2 linked regions of the Lytechinus pictus genome follow. The main gene of each other region encodes a partner of the protein of the gene in region 2 in a complex. Links are inferred from orthologs where the notes say so. Each region holds a gene or a part of one and is shown on either strand. Other genes may lie near its edges.

What was found. The genes of interacting proteins can lie anywhere in the genome.
Region 1: the proteins of translation initiation factor eIF2B subunit epsilon-like (region 2) and translation initiation factor eIF2B subunit delta-like are in contact, whole or in part, in a cryo-EM structure (PDB 7D46), measured with the Homo sapiens proteins. The link is inferred for Lytechinus pictus from reciprocal best matches to the Homo sapiens genes EIF2B5 and EIF2B4. Residues at the interface, in NP_003898.2 of Homo sapiens: Arg163, Lys294, Arg339, His340, Glu357; in NP_001029288.1 of Homo sapiens: Arg357, Tyr393, Pro396, Glu397, Lys466, Arg467, Glu469.

Annotation. Positions count from the first base shown.
Region 1 is NC_087245.1:39,272,092-39,279,849, forward strand, and holds the start of translation initiation factor eIF2B subunit delta-like, read right to left. Parts: upstream 3,098-7,758; 5' UTR 2,978-3,097; intron 1,021-2,977; 5' UTR 1,019-1,020; coding exon 767-1,018; intron 1-766. UniProt on the Homo sapiens protein: Acts as a component of the translation initiation factor 2B (eIF2B) complex, which catalyzes the exchange of GDP for GTP on eukaryotic initiation factor 2 (eIF2) gamma subunit.
Region 2 is NC_087249.1:3,462,177-3,469,790, reverse strand, and holds the start of translation initiation factor eIF2B subunit epsilon-like, read right to left. Parts: upstream 3,101-7,614; 5' UTR 3,011-3,100; coding exon 2,885-3,010; intron 492-2,884; coding exon 367-491; intron 1-366. UniProt on the Homo sapiens protein: Acts as a component of the translation initiation factor 2B (eIF2B) complex, which catalyzes the exchange of GDP for GTP on eukaryotic initiation factor 2 (eIF2) gamma subunit.

The DNA of each region.
Region 1 (7,758 bases), on a different chromosome or scaffold from region 2:
TAAATTCAATGTCAATCCCATAAGACTAAATTAGCATAAACTTTGAAGTTGAAATCTTAATTATCAAGGATGTTAGATCGCATTTCTTATCTATTTAGAGAAAAGGCAATTATATTTTAGATGACCTCTGTGACCTTCAAACTTTGTCCATGTGACCTAAAAACTACTTAGATAATCGTCCTCTCTATTGCATGAGACAATTTAATTAGTCAAACATTTCAAAGACAAGTAATTTTCTGGTACTTGTACATATAATAAATAACCTATGATATGACCTCCAACTGTTAACCTACATACCCCAAAAATAATTAGATCATGTCAATTCCATGAGCCAAATGTAAAGTTGATTATAAATCAAATGGTCTATATTTTACTATAAGAACTAAAATGAATAGAAGGACTTGACAAGGTCTCTGACGACTACCCTGGTAAGAGGAGGCAATGCATAACAGTAAACAAAAAGATCTGAAAAAAAAAAATTTGAATAACAAATTAACAGGCAAATAGTCAACGTTGGAGTGAACTTTTTTGTCCATGAGGTATTTGCTGTTTAAAGATGGAAGCGAATAACTTTCAAGAATACACCATAAAACAACAACAAAATAGATAATCTACCTGTAAATGAAAGCTGTAAAACCAACTCTGCAATAGATGTAGCCCGTCTTGTGATACATCTTCCGAAACATTTTTAACTTCTTCAGTAGGCTTTTCAAACTAAACGACATCAATTCTTCTCACCCAACAGCTTTATTTTACCACAACTGACCTGCTTAGCCCTCCTCTCAGCCTTTAATTCTGCCTTGCTCTTTGCAGGGGCCTGAGCCAGATCTTTTTCTTTCTGCTGCTCCGCAAGCTGCTTCTGTTTCAGCATCTTCCTCTCCTTCTTAGATAACTTCTTTTCACCTCCCTCGCCCCCTGCAGCATCACCTCCATCTTGAGTTGGTGTCACACCCTCCTTGACCTTCTTCCCTTCGCTCGTTGTGGAGGGGTGCGCTGCGGCTTTGGCTACTTCAGCCATTCCTGTTGTTCAAAAATAAAACGAAAAGAAATTTGTTTCATTATTGATTTTATTAACTGAAATTCATTTTAAACATGTTAAAGCCTCTTTTGCTTTTAGGTTTTGGTGAATTTCTTAAAAGTTTGTCACCGAGTGTTCTAGTCCATTAAATGGAATGGAACAAACACCCTCTCACATTAAGACAATCCCCAAAAGTTGAATCATTTAAGAAGTCTCTAAAAACGTTTCTGTTCTAGGACTAAACAACTTCCTTCATTTTATATGTAATGTTAGGCTTATGGCATTCTGTACTTGTTTTTGTATGAATTAGGTAAACTGAAATTGTAAGCACTTGGGCCATTTGGGATAAGCGCATTACAAATATTGGGTATAATAGTTAAATAACTAAATGTTATGTGGACTGGATATGAAATACATTGTAGTATTTTCCAAATTTCATCCTTCTTCATTTCTCAACTTTGCCTTCTATTACTCATCATCTTCGAAAGGACATTACCCTTGGATACCAGTTACTTCCACTCCTTAGCAATAAACATGCCAACAAGTGGTCAATAATGAACCTCGCACAGCACACTCACCTGTGACTCACTATAAATTCTCTGAATTGGTGGTTCCTTCTCTCCCCTCTCTTTGTTTACATCCTCCAACACATTTGGGATGAAAACTACCACTTTCTTTTTTAACACACTTCTCAAATTTTTCTACTATAGTAAACACGTGTTTGGAGAACGTCGTCAAATTACTTAATACTTTTGTGGATTTCCATCATATCACTTGAAGCAAACTTCATCCATTGTATCTTCCACCTAGGCTCATATCATATTCAAGTTTTCGTACTACCCTTTTTCTCTGTCATTTCACCAAGAGAATTTAGCAAAATAAAAAATACTGCTTGTGCTAGCCTAGTTAGTTTTGTGATAATATCTGTGTGATTTTGTGAATAATATATTATATACTGTATACATACACATATTGGGATCATGCAATAAATTGGAACACTTCAAATATATTGGAGGATTGTCTGTCGGATGTCTCTACACGCATAAAGTCGGTAAGTGGAGATTGGCTTACTACCATTTCATCTAATAACCAACCCCCGTTACAACATTTTCATTATAGATCTAGGCCTATAGAAACATTTAGATCTAGAAATATTTGATTTCGTGCCCAGAGCTAGCCAGGCGGCTTCAAAGAGAGTGAAAATCATTTACTAACGTAAGGTCACTCTCATATGAAGCCAGGGCTGGCTAGGTATACTTTCGTGTGTACCACCAAAAAACCTGAAACTTTTGCCCCCGAGATTTCTACTTTCTTTCTAATAGATCTAGCCCTAAATCATGTACATGGGATAAAACTTCATTTCCGACATTTCTACGCTCTCGTTGTTATTTTTGAACAAGAATTCATCAAAAAAATGAGAGAAATATTGTGTAAAGACGGAAGAGACTTGCCCGATGTTTACGCCGCCATCTTGTTTCCTATTGTTCTTCGCCAACGTTACAGACGCGTGCGTCGGGTAACTAGATCTATCTATTTTTTTTTCTAGATATAATAAAATCTATTATAAAAAATGAACTCCTCACTCAGGAATCATGGCATTTGATTTATGCGATCCGAGGCAAGATTTATAACAAAAGCTGTAGAACAATTGTTCAACTTCAAGCATCAAAAGTCCTTTATTCCCTTAATTCTTGATATTTGTACTTAGACGACTTAATGGACGGGGATATGGCTGAGCTGTTCTGTGCACATTTCATTACATGTCGCCAATGAATTTAACCCTGGCTCTGTTGGCATCTGTGACAAAAAAAAGACATGAATGAAAGCGTGTGGGACTGTGCTAACATATGGACATGCAAATGCCGGCAACAAACAAAATTAATTCCCCATAAACAGATAGGTAATAACGGATGACGACAAACATTATATTAATTTAAATTGGTTGAAAAAATAACTTACAAACTGCAAAGTCAAAGTCCCGAGAAGGTGGAAATGTAGTGGGGCTCTTCGACTTCGGCTTCTTCGTCTCGATGGCCTTTTGGACAAATTCATTCCAAAACAGATGGTAGAAGTTGATCAACATATTTTGCAAAGGAAACTTGAGATTTTTGAGTATTTTACTCAACATAGTTCTAAAAAATAAGATTCGAACTACTCTTTCTTAATTATTTTTGAAAATATAAATTGATATGTAAAATAGTAACTTGATATTTTCACATTTATTTACAGAAGATTTCAACTTAGCACGAGATACCTTTTATACCCCTATTATTGAATGTAGTCTCCCAAGTTACTTTTTGCTTCCACTATATACTGTTGGCCTATGTGAAAATAAAAGACTTGCTTGGTGTAGGGTGTAATATCAATATATCTACATCTTACTATGATTCCAAACTACTCTCAAGTATCTTGAAAGTCTCTTGCATTTAACTTCGTTTTTGAATTCCTGAACATTTTATGGCGGAAAATGAAACAAGAAATGGAAAACCCAAGAGGAGATATAAGGTAGGTTAAACTATTGATCGTTTTATTCAACAGAGTAGTAAATTGACACAGAAGTGTTTGTTCTGTGGTGAATGCGAATGAGAAGAATAGAAAAGGCTTGTTGAACATGATCCCGACATGAATAAGAAAAGGGCTCTTTTACAAAGTGCTCCTGCATTGAAATAAACGAGGACGCGAATTACGTCGTATAATGCCTCTATATATGAATTAAGCGTCACATGAGCTTCATGTTTTGAGTCACACGGGTGTACGATAGAAGAATCCCATGTACTATGAGTAGGAATTATTTTATTTCCGAGTATGCATGTGTTCCAAGACTTTCTGACTTCAGTAAAGGTAAGTATAAAATCACGTACATTGTTTACCTATAAATAATGAAATATGTTAGAATGATATGTCGTTGTTTCTTTAAAAAAAAAAGAAATGTAGAAAAAGAAATAAAAGGAAAAAACTATATAAGATAGGCCTACTCCATACTGTTAAATATTCTGCCATATTCAACTAAAAACCTCACTATTATTGATGCGTATATACCTATCTACTACCGATTATATACTACTACTACTACTACTACTACTATAGTAGTAGTAGTAGTAGTAGTAGTAGTAGTAGTAGTAGTAGTATAGGTAGTAGTAGTAGTAGTAGTAGTAGTAGTAGTAGACTACTACTAACTACTACTAGTACTACTACTACTACTACTACTACTACTACTACTACTACTACTACTACTACTACTACTACTACTACTACTACTACTACTACTACTTCTACTACTACTACTACCTATACTACTACTACTACTACTACTACTACTACTACTTCTACTACTACTACTACTACTACCTAGACTTCTACTACTACTACTACTACTACTACTACTATACTACTACTACTACTACTATTGCTGTTGCTGCTGCTACTGGGTTAAGTATCATAATGATTGAACGAGCACATTCTCTACGGGAATGATTGTGTTATCAGAGCCAATTCCATAATACCACTTCAAGAATTCTATAAAATTAATATTTCAGCTTTAGCATGAGGAGTTATTATAGGCCTTTTCAATATTATACTTAATAATAAGCTTGTGCGCAGCAAGAAAATAAATAAGTTCTTTAAATATTGTTATGAGTAGAATAACGTGTAACAATTGTTTTGGTAAGAAAGTTGATTGAATTCAAAAGCAATATAGTGGTAACAATACATTTTAAAGCTTTATGAAAAATGTCTTTATGAGAAGATTAAATGTTATTACATCGAAAATACTGATTCCATTTGAAGATTTTGCGATTGGACGAATTATTTGAATGGATAGAGATTGATCAATCGTGTTATCATTCATTAGATTCTTTTATCCTTTGAACAAAAAATGCATTTTGAGGTTTGCCAAACGATATCTTACTGGATGTTGTAATAATATTATTGTAAATCTAAACATACTGCATGAACATGTGAGGTTTCGTGCCCCTTCCCAACGCACTACAAACAAAAATACATACACACACACACCCACACACTCACAATCACAACGTAAATATCATTTTATATGTTTATCATTTACTTTCAGAATTGGTTATGCTCATGCAAGGTCGCTTTATATTACCACCTAGAAATCAATAAAATAGCGAAGGCATCGATTTTAGTTTCTTTTCCATTATAACATCTTGATTTGGGGGAGAGAGAAGTGTGAATTTAGAAATTGAGATGTTGAGAATGTCATCATGATGTACAGAAACTTTTATTTTACTTTGTTACACTCAGGAGCGACGTCATATATGGGGTAGGGGCAGGGGGCATCCCACACAATGACTTTCCAAGGAGTGAAAATGGGAAAGAGAAGAAAAAGGAAAAAAATGAGAAAAGGAAAAACAGAGGGGAGAGGACTTTCTAAAATGAGAGACGTGTAATTGTATAAAACCCCCGGTGATTCGAATAAGAAAAAAATATGCCGTCACATTTAAGTCGCTTTGAAGAAGAAGAAGAAGAAGAAGAGGAGGAGGAGGAGAATGAGAAAAAGAAGAAATGTGAAGTGTATAAATAAATTATCAGTAGTAGTAGAAGTATTATTATTATCATTATTAATATCATTATTATTAGAATTATTATTAGTTGTTGTAGTAGTAGTAGTAGTAGTAGTAGTAGTAGTGGTAGTAGTATCAGTAGTAGTAGTAGTAGTAGTATAGTAGTAGTAGTAGTAGTAATAGTAGTAGCAGGAGTACTAGGAGTAGTAGTAGTAATATAGTAGTAGTAGTAGTAGTAGTATAGTAGTAGTAGTAGTAGTAGTAGTAATAGTAGTAGCAGGAGTACTAGGAGTAGTAGTAGTAGTAGTAGTAGTAGTAGTAGTAGTAGTAGTAGTAGTAGTAGTAGTAGTGGTGGTAGAAGTAGTAGTAGTAGTAGTAGCAGTAGTATACTATTAGTCAATATCCCCTTCTGCTCCCAACAAAAATTATCTTTAGTCGGATAAATTCATTGAATTCTAAATAAGAATGAAATTATCTCAAGTAGCATTTTGTTCTTGAATACCGGAAAACCATATATCAATAAAAGTGAATGAAAAAATGATACATTTACCAACGGTATTGGGCAAACGTTCTAAAAGGCTGCATTCGACCGAAGCGAGTGAGTAAATTATTTTGTCCTAATTTATATCCCAAAAAATTAAATTTTGTGATAGAATTTGACATAAAATTCAAAAAAATATATATCACATTTCACCATTTTCCCTTTCCTTCCTTTCCCTTTTTTTCTTGGTCATGATTTAAAAAAAAAAATCATTTTATTTATTTATCTTTTTTTTTGTTGGGGGGGGGGGGGGTCATGGCACTAATTATAAGGTCCCTCCCCATCTCTAACATGTCTAAGCAAGTGTATGGTATAATATTGAGACCGGAAAGAAATATCAACCAGATGTATAAAAAAGACCGGTGACCCGACATTTGTTCGGGTCTTAATATCTCATAGAGCACAGGGTTAGAATTAAAAATGCAATAGAGTCTTGAGTCAAGAATAATATGAAGATTTAGAAATAAATATTTGAATTTTACTTTATTCATTTACTTTTTTTTTCAAAGAAAACAACCGTTAAAGGAGAATGAAACCCTTGAAACCAGCTGAATCCATATCAAAGAGAAAAATCAAAGAAACATATTGTTGAAAGTTTGAGGAAGATTGAATGAATAATAAAAAAGTTATGAGCATTTGAATATTGAGATCACTAATGCCATGTAGTTCCTCCCATTGGCAATGCGACCAAGATCTGTGATGTCACACACGTACAACTCCCTCATTACTTTAGTACTTATTTCACTTATATTCTCACTTTTATAGAGTCTATCACAAGGTGAGGTGTTCTCTTTATGAGAGGACAAGAACAGAGGTTTCACAACATTATATCATTGATGAATCGTTTGTCATATGATTAGAATGAGCAAAAAGATATGTTTTTGGGTATATTTTCAGTGTCCAAAAGGGGAGAGTTGTTCATCTGTGACATCATAGATCTTGGTCGCATTGCCAATGGGAGGATCTCCATAGCATTAGTAATCTCGACATTTAAATGCTCATAACTCTTCTATTGCTAGTCCTATTTCACTTTTGTTGATCTTATTCTTTGATTTTTCTGCTTTCACAAAAGCTAACTTGCTCCAAGAGTTTCATTCTCCTTTAATAATATGATATTCATGATGGCGAAAATAGTCAAGTTCACTGGTTGCCAAATAAAAAGAAGAACCCCCCCCCCTGTTTGGCTTAATGTGCAGATTTTCCATCGGAGCAATAATTGTCGCCGGAGAAAATGTCATGAAACCAAAAGACCACACCCTCTCTTTACACACTGCATGCTTCATACACTGCATACCTTTAGAAAAAGCGGAAAAACCGAAACTTGTGATTTGACCGATATAGTTGTATACTATTCGTCATTTCCACGGTGTATAACACTGACACATGTATAGGCTTATCACGACAAATAAAATAACAACCCCAAAAACAAATGGATGATATCCAATGTAGGTCTATACTCTTCTCTCCCATTATTGATTGAAGTACTAATATAATGAGGAATTCTGGTAAAATAAAAATAATTCTAACACAATACGCTTTGTCGTACGGGGAATATTGTGGGATATTTTTAATAAATAGAATAATCGAATAGGCAAATAAAATAGTGAATGACCATTATAAACATTAGATGTGAACAATGAGTTGACCAACTAATTGTATTGTACTTATTTATC
Region 2 (7,614 bases):
TTCAAATTGCACATTTTGATGCTTGAAATTTTAATAAATTTTTAATATCTATAGTCTGCAGTTTAAATTAAACCAAATATCAAACACCGACAAAATTCGTTCAAATTTAAGAAAAACTTCAGAACAAAATTTTAGCATTTCACATAAATTCTTATCATTTGTTAAGTCATATGTAACTTTACAGTTTTATGAAACAGCCCCTTGTGGAATTATATCAACTTTGTTCCTACTTTATGACAACATGAGAATGAGATTGTGTTTAATTACAAATTATATTGAATGTGACTTGATTATCAAACTGCTCTTAAGATATTTTTTTTTAAATATTAAATTAACCTGCAAAAATTGATCAGAAAATAAACTTACTCAACATGATGTTTGATTTGGTTGGAATGTGAACTGCAGAAGACAAATATTTCCTGAACACCGTTGGTTGCAAGAAACTCCAGCGTGTAGTCAATGATTGGACAGTTCACCAGAGGAAGCAATGCCTTCAAACATAAACAAAATGAAAAGATGTGGTTAGAAACTGAGTTCCTACATGGATGGCAGGTAACTAGAGTTGTTATTTAATAGAATATGAATGTCAAGGTGTAATGATATCAAAGTCAACCATTCCCCATAGATACTGCCCTAAGTTTTCCGCTTTGCGGATTTTCCGCGGAAATCGCGGAAACCGGGGTAGAAAGCGGAAAACACAGTTTTGAAAAAAACAGTGAATTCGGTGAGAAATCTTAGTTTTAAAGTATAAAAAAATTGGTTCCAAAAGCATCCTAATTGATAATACAATCTATAAAATCCAGTCTAGGAATTGCACAAATTAAGCTCTGTGAAACCAGCCTACCGATCGCGATCGCACACCTTACCAGATTGGACCCACAATAAATTTATAAGTACAACACTACATACTACTTACGCAATGCAGCTCTCCCAGCAGCGTTTGTGCGCAATTCGTTCTGGAAATTTCCATGCATAGCGAAAGCAATATTCACGTGCACATCACGTTACTACGGTGATGGAACGCTTGGTCGCCCGTACTAGTAGCATGTATGCATCAACGAACGTAGAGGACAGCAGCAACACTGAAGTGTGTTGCTGCCCTCTACGTTCGTTGGTATGCATGTTCATTAATGCAATATGCACGGGGAGTAAGCCTACGTATAGTAGAAATAATTTTACTCCCCAGACGCCTCCAGGGGCCCGTCTCTCAACACCGTCATAAGTCTAACTTCTTGACTAAATCGGAGATAGTGAGCTACTTGTCTGCTAACCGTTTCACGAAGCCCTCTTTACCAAGATCGGGTACAACCTCACTAAATATTTATGACACCTCCGAACCTGTCATAACTTCTTTCTTAATGACGTATGGCATCACGTGGGTAGACTGACATGCAAAAGTGCCTAGAAATTTTCAAATTATAATCTTACGTAATCAATCATAGAGGTTGAAATTACATCACAAAACAAGTGGGATAATGCATTCAATGATAATTGTAATACAAAGAAACTATAAAAACTGTTGGTAATAACAAAACGCCACAGAACCATTCATTTTGAAATAGTAAAATGATTTAATCGATAAAGATTCTACCACGTCAGGCCATCCATAACTGAACTCGTATTAGTTGTTTTCAGACCCCTATTAACAGTTGGATAATTCTATCTCTAATTTATGCATATAATTTGTCAAATTTCGTATGTTTCGGTATCAATTATTAAAAAATGTTTCGTTAAACTATAATTTTGATGACTTTCGGAGTCATAAAAGACCGTATAATTATCATCATTTTACATAGAAAATCGTTATGGTTTACTTTCGTAAACTATTAAAATTTGATATCCCGGGGGTACCCATCTCAACATCCACAACAAGTGATTTTTTAGTCATGAAATGAATTATTCATAAATCAATTTTCACTGCTATTGAACATGTTGAATGGTCCAGTCTTCATGGCCTAAGTATGTATGATGCATAATTCACCTGTGCTATTATTTTGAAAAGATTTATTTCCCAATTCATCACAATATTTGCAATTTTGTCATAATTTTTCTTTTTGAAAATGATGCTATTTTGTGACTAAAAGTCTAAGGCTACGTCTCGTCTGCTCTTTTTACCGAGTATCGATATCAAGGTATTCTATAAGTTAGGAAGCCTTTCGAGAAACAGGTTTAGTAAGATTGGAACTAACTCCGTGGTTGGTGGATATAGATATGACTAAGTAACTTGTCCATGTGTTGAGAAACGGGCCCCAGGCTACCCACGGCCTAGACCAAAAGCTTCAGTCTGTCTCTGTTATGTTGGTTGTTCAGCTGAACTCCGTTGGCTTCACTCACCAAATACAGAGACCGAAGTTCTAGCGCGATCTGTACAGGGGACTCAATGGCCATATGTTTATGTGTATTAAGTTTGGATAAAACAGGGCAGTGAAGTTGTGCGACAGCCGAGGTAAGTCACTGTTTTTGTTCCTTTTAACTTGATTTTCCCCGTTTTTTGGCAATTAATGCCAAGAGGGAATATTAATTTGCATTTCGGTCGCGTTAATTTTCAAAAGTTTGATTCATTAAAGACAAAAATTGAAGAGCCCCGACGGGGGGATTTTGCATTGTAAGTCCCCTAATGGTGGCTGCACGATAGCGAGCCGTCTGTGTATGAGGAGAAATTAAAAAAATTAAAAAATGTTAAAAAACTCCTCGAAACAGACGGCTGCCAGCTGTCTACCCACGGCCCACCTGGGACGGGACGGCCCGAGCCCGGGGGACTGAAGCCGGCTACTACGTACGGGTACCGTACCGTATACGGTACCGCATCCGCACGCATCACACACCAGCTGCTTACAAATTCTACCAAAAATTATTGTATCTGTAGGCATAAGCAGATACTCACTCGCGGTTTTTCCAGGCTTACAGGAGAAAACCTAGTATTGAAGCTATCTGCAATAACAACTGCTTGGAGAACGTCCTCCTTTTCCAACGAATTGTCGGATTTCCCCTTTGCTTTTTTGCCAGACATGGTGATGAAGTCGCGTATGGACAGCTACACTACAGATTCGTGTAAGGACCAAGATTGTTGGCTATGTTCAGCTTAGATTTACGCGTACCGTATACCGTACACTGAACTAGAAATACATGTACGTATATACGTAAATACGTATCTCTAGTTCAGTGATACCGTATATTTCATGCAATATTTGATTGAATTTAGCAATTGTAATGTAGTCGACTTACTTAGTATGTAACCATACATAAGACAAATAATTCAGCTATTTTTTATATATATATATTTTTTGTAATAAGGACCATTAGATTAGAGCCGCATATACTAGTAGTCGATAGACTAAATGCCTAAAAAGTGCCAGTTGAGTTCAAAGAATCATATTTGTGACAAGTTTGTTTGAATCATTGAAGAAGCTAAATATATTTCACTAATCAATTTTTTTATATCGATCCAGCACCGCTCAATCATGAACAGGAATCATATAATTGTAACACTCTTTAAATGTAGCGTGGTAGGTATGGATGAGTGTTAGCTAGTGGTAAGACTTCAATAAGGGAATCCAACTCAAAGTATATAAAGTTCAGATGATATTTAATCACGCAGACATATATATATATAAATGAACAGTCGCTTGTTGAGAACTCGGGCACTCCCCTATCAAGGCCTCAAAGGGCAGGAGCGCAAGCTTATGGAGTAGTAGTCCGAAGACTAAGGAAAGAACCTAGAGAATATCAAGCACCTCTAATTTATACTCTGAGGGGAGGTGTTTACCCCTTTGGACTTATCTATTGTGACTGTACATGAGTAGACAACTAAATGAAATAGAACAAAGGACAGGTCTGGAAGATGTAGGGAACAAAGAGTAATGAATAAGGATTGAGACGAACTAATGAAGGGAGGAAGATTAATCTGAGGGAATCTATTGTTTGCCACTGATGGTGGTGTTTTCATTTGGTTAAAGTATTGTTATTATATGGTCATGTGGTCATGGTGGTTGTATCACTGCCTGAATATACCCAAGGTCTAGTGATATATAATTTAGACAACTATATAAGCTGCTACATTGGAATGAATATTTTACTCTTACATAATTATAGGCCTACCTTTATCCTCTTGAGCAGATTTTAAAAATCTATTTTAGGCTATGCGAGCACAAAGGGCGAGATAAATGCTCAATTTGATTCGATGGCCTAATCCCCCCCCCCCCCCCTTCCCTGTAGTTTGCCCCGCCAATATAGGGGGAAGTGCGACTGCTTTGGCCCCCTGGATCCACCTATATAACAATAATTAAAAAAAATTAATGATAATACTAACAATAATCTCTCCCTTTTTAACTCTACCATTTTACTTTATTAAAGGTCAAGTCCACCCCAGGAAAATGCTGACTTTAATAAGTAAAAAAAATCAAACTGGCATGCCGGATGTAAAATAAGAAAGTTTTGATATTTTAAAATTTCGCTTATTTTTCACAAAACACGGTGATATACATGCACAACTAGGTCAGTCAGTCGATGATGTCCATCACTCACTATTTCTTTTGTTTTTTATTGTTTGAATTATATAATATTTCATTTTTCATAGATTTGACAATAAGGACCAACTTAACTGAGGGAACCATATAGTATTAAACAATGCTAATTCCGCATTTTCAGGGAGGAATTAATCGTTTATTTTACATCCGATTTTGATAAAATTTTCAGTGTCATCAGTGGCGTACCGTGGGTCACAGCATTGGGGGGGGCACCAGCAAAAATTTTGAGTCACTCAGTGTGAGTATACTAACCTAATACATTTTAAGGACGGCGCAATGCCATTAAACGAATGTGTATCTCACTGATCAAATAATGCGAGCACAAGCTTAAAATTTTTGATATTCAGACCTAAAAATAGACATTAAAGGAGAATGAAACTCTTGGAGCAAGTTAGCTTTTGTGAAAGCAGAAAAATCAAAGAATAAGATCAACAAAAGTTTGAGTAAAATAGGACTAGCAATAGAAGAGTTATGAGCATTTAAATGTCGAGATCACTAATGCTATGGAGATCCTCCCATTGGCAATGCGAGCAATATCTATGATGTCACAGATGAACAACTCTCCCCTTTTGGACGCTGAAAATATACCCCAAAACATCTCCTTTTGCTTATTCTAATCATATGACAAACGATTCATCAATGATATAATGTTGTGAAACCTCTGTACTTGTCCTCTCATAAAGAGAACACCTCACCTTGTGATAGACTCTATAAAAGTGAGAATATAAGGGAAATAAGTACTAAAGTAATGAGGGAGTTGTACGTGTGTGACATCACAGATCTTATGGTTGCATTGCCAACAGGAAGGATCTACATGGCATTAGTGATCTCAATATTCAAATGCTCATAACTTTCTTATTATTCATTCAATCTTCCTCAAACTTTCAACAATATGTTTCTTTGATTTTTCTCTTTGATATGGATTCAGCTGGTTTCAAGGGTTTCATTCTCCTTTAAAGCTAATTTTTGTTATGATACGTACCTGTCTCGCTAAACAACAACGCGAGCGCAAAGCGCAAGCTGAACTTGTATACATTTACCCCATACAGGCATATTTTAAGGGCTATTTTTTAAGGAATCCATTAAGAGTATACATATCTCACCATAGTCATCTAATCGAGTGCCAAGCGCTTGCTGATTTTGCTAGAACTACATCTAAACACATGAATTACTTTTTATAGTCATTGTAATCATGATTCTCATACGCATCTCGCAAATCAAATATTGCGAATGCGAAGCGCGAGCTGAAAATTCAGGAAGTTCAGACCTGAAGAGGGACATTCTAATTAAGGCTCGTTTGTAGGAATTCACTAAGACCATACGCATTTCACTAACCAAATTATGCGAGCGCGAAGCGCGAGCTGAAATTTTTTTAATTGATATTCAGATCAGAAAAAGGGACATTAATTAAGGACTGATTTTAGGAATTCATGAAGATCAGACATACCTCACCAATCCACTATTGCAAACGTGAGCACGGAAGGAAATGTTTTATTTGAAGACCTTAGAGTGGGGCAATCGCTTTAGTTGTCATGAAAAAGAAGCATATGTCACTACATAAAACAATAATAACTCGAAGTGCGAGGAAATATGTTTGGAGTATATTGATTTGAAAACGGAAGGTTTTAGCACAACAGGATTATATATCTCGTTAAACAGACAATACGAGCACCAGGAACAATGAAGACATAGGCCCTGAGCAAATTGTGTTTACATAATAGTAATGATAAAATCATAAAGAACAATAATTTCTTCTTTCCCACTACGTTTCTCTTTCTTTTCTCCTTTTTTTTTTGGCCAGCCGATCGACCCCCCCCCCCCCCACCCCCATGCCCCCCGCCCGTAGTTACGCCACTGAGTGTTATGCTTGTTGGATTTTTCTCTTTTTATTCAAATCAACTTTTTGTTGGGGTGGACTTGTCCTTTAAAAACATAAAAATCAGCATTGCGTAATTTGACGGACAGAATAATGGCGTACTGGGTGGGGGTCTAAAAAGTCCCAAGCTAGGGAAGCGAGCTAGCAACAATATCAATCTAAAATGGAAATCTTATATTGTGACAAAGTTTGACATATTTTATATCGAGAAAATAATTTCATTTTTACCATTTTCTTCTTCAATTGCTTACTTGTCTCCTCATTTTAAGTCTTTGAAACCTTTTTTGGGGGCAACCATCCAAAAAATCGCCCCATTTTTATGCCAGTGCAAGTCCCGTTAGAGTCATATGGGGAAAATTTCTCCGATTGCCACTTTTATATAGCAAAGTTTTAGATATCTCCCAATCTGGATTTTTCATTATTATCATTAAGTTTATCTTCATAAATTCGGTGCATATGTGCCCACGGGGGGGGGGAGGGGGCTTCCTTATAAAATGGCCCACACATTTAATTTAAGTTTGCCCAGTCAAAAGGCTATATATACGCCTCTATCTCCCCCTGTCTCTCCCCCCCCCTCTCTCTCTCTCTCTCCCTCTCTCCTTCCATCTTTCCCTTTCTTCCAGGGTGTGCTTATGTACTATATCTTCCATATTCATTGGTCTCGATCCCTTCAAAATATGAAGACCACATACCATATCCATCATTCCGAATTCCATTACTCGATCTTGCATTGACGCTTTGCATACCTTCTAAGGGCTAAGACCTCGCCTGAATTTTATGATATTGAAAACACAAAAAGGATCGATTTGGCTTCAAGGTTGCATTTTTAATATAATACTTTCTGTCTACGCAAATAATTTTTACTCAGGCTATATATTTACCTCATAAGTCTCTCTTTTTGTCATGTTACTTAGAAAAGAACTGTGTTCAAAACAAATTTTCAATATGGATATATATAAAGACGAACTTGAATTTTAACTTGACACTCCATCTGAAGTCGATCACGATCACAACCTATCACTAAATAATCACTACCGTGTTATAGACAATGCAATCAGCATTCAGCTATCAATTGCTTGATCAAAAATCAATCAATTAATTATAAATCGATAAATTAATCAATAAACCAATAAATCAGTCTCAATCAAGTATTCAATCACCATTCAGCTATCAATCACTTAATCAACAATCTATCAGTCAATCAAACAACCA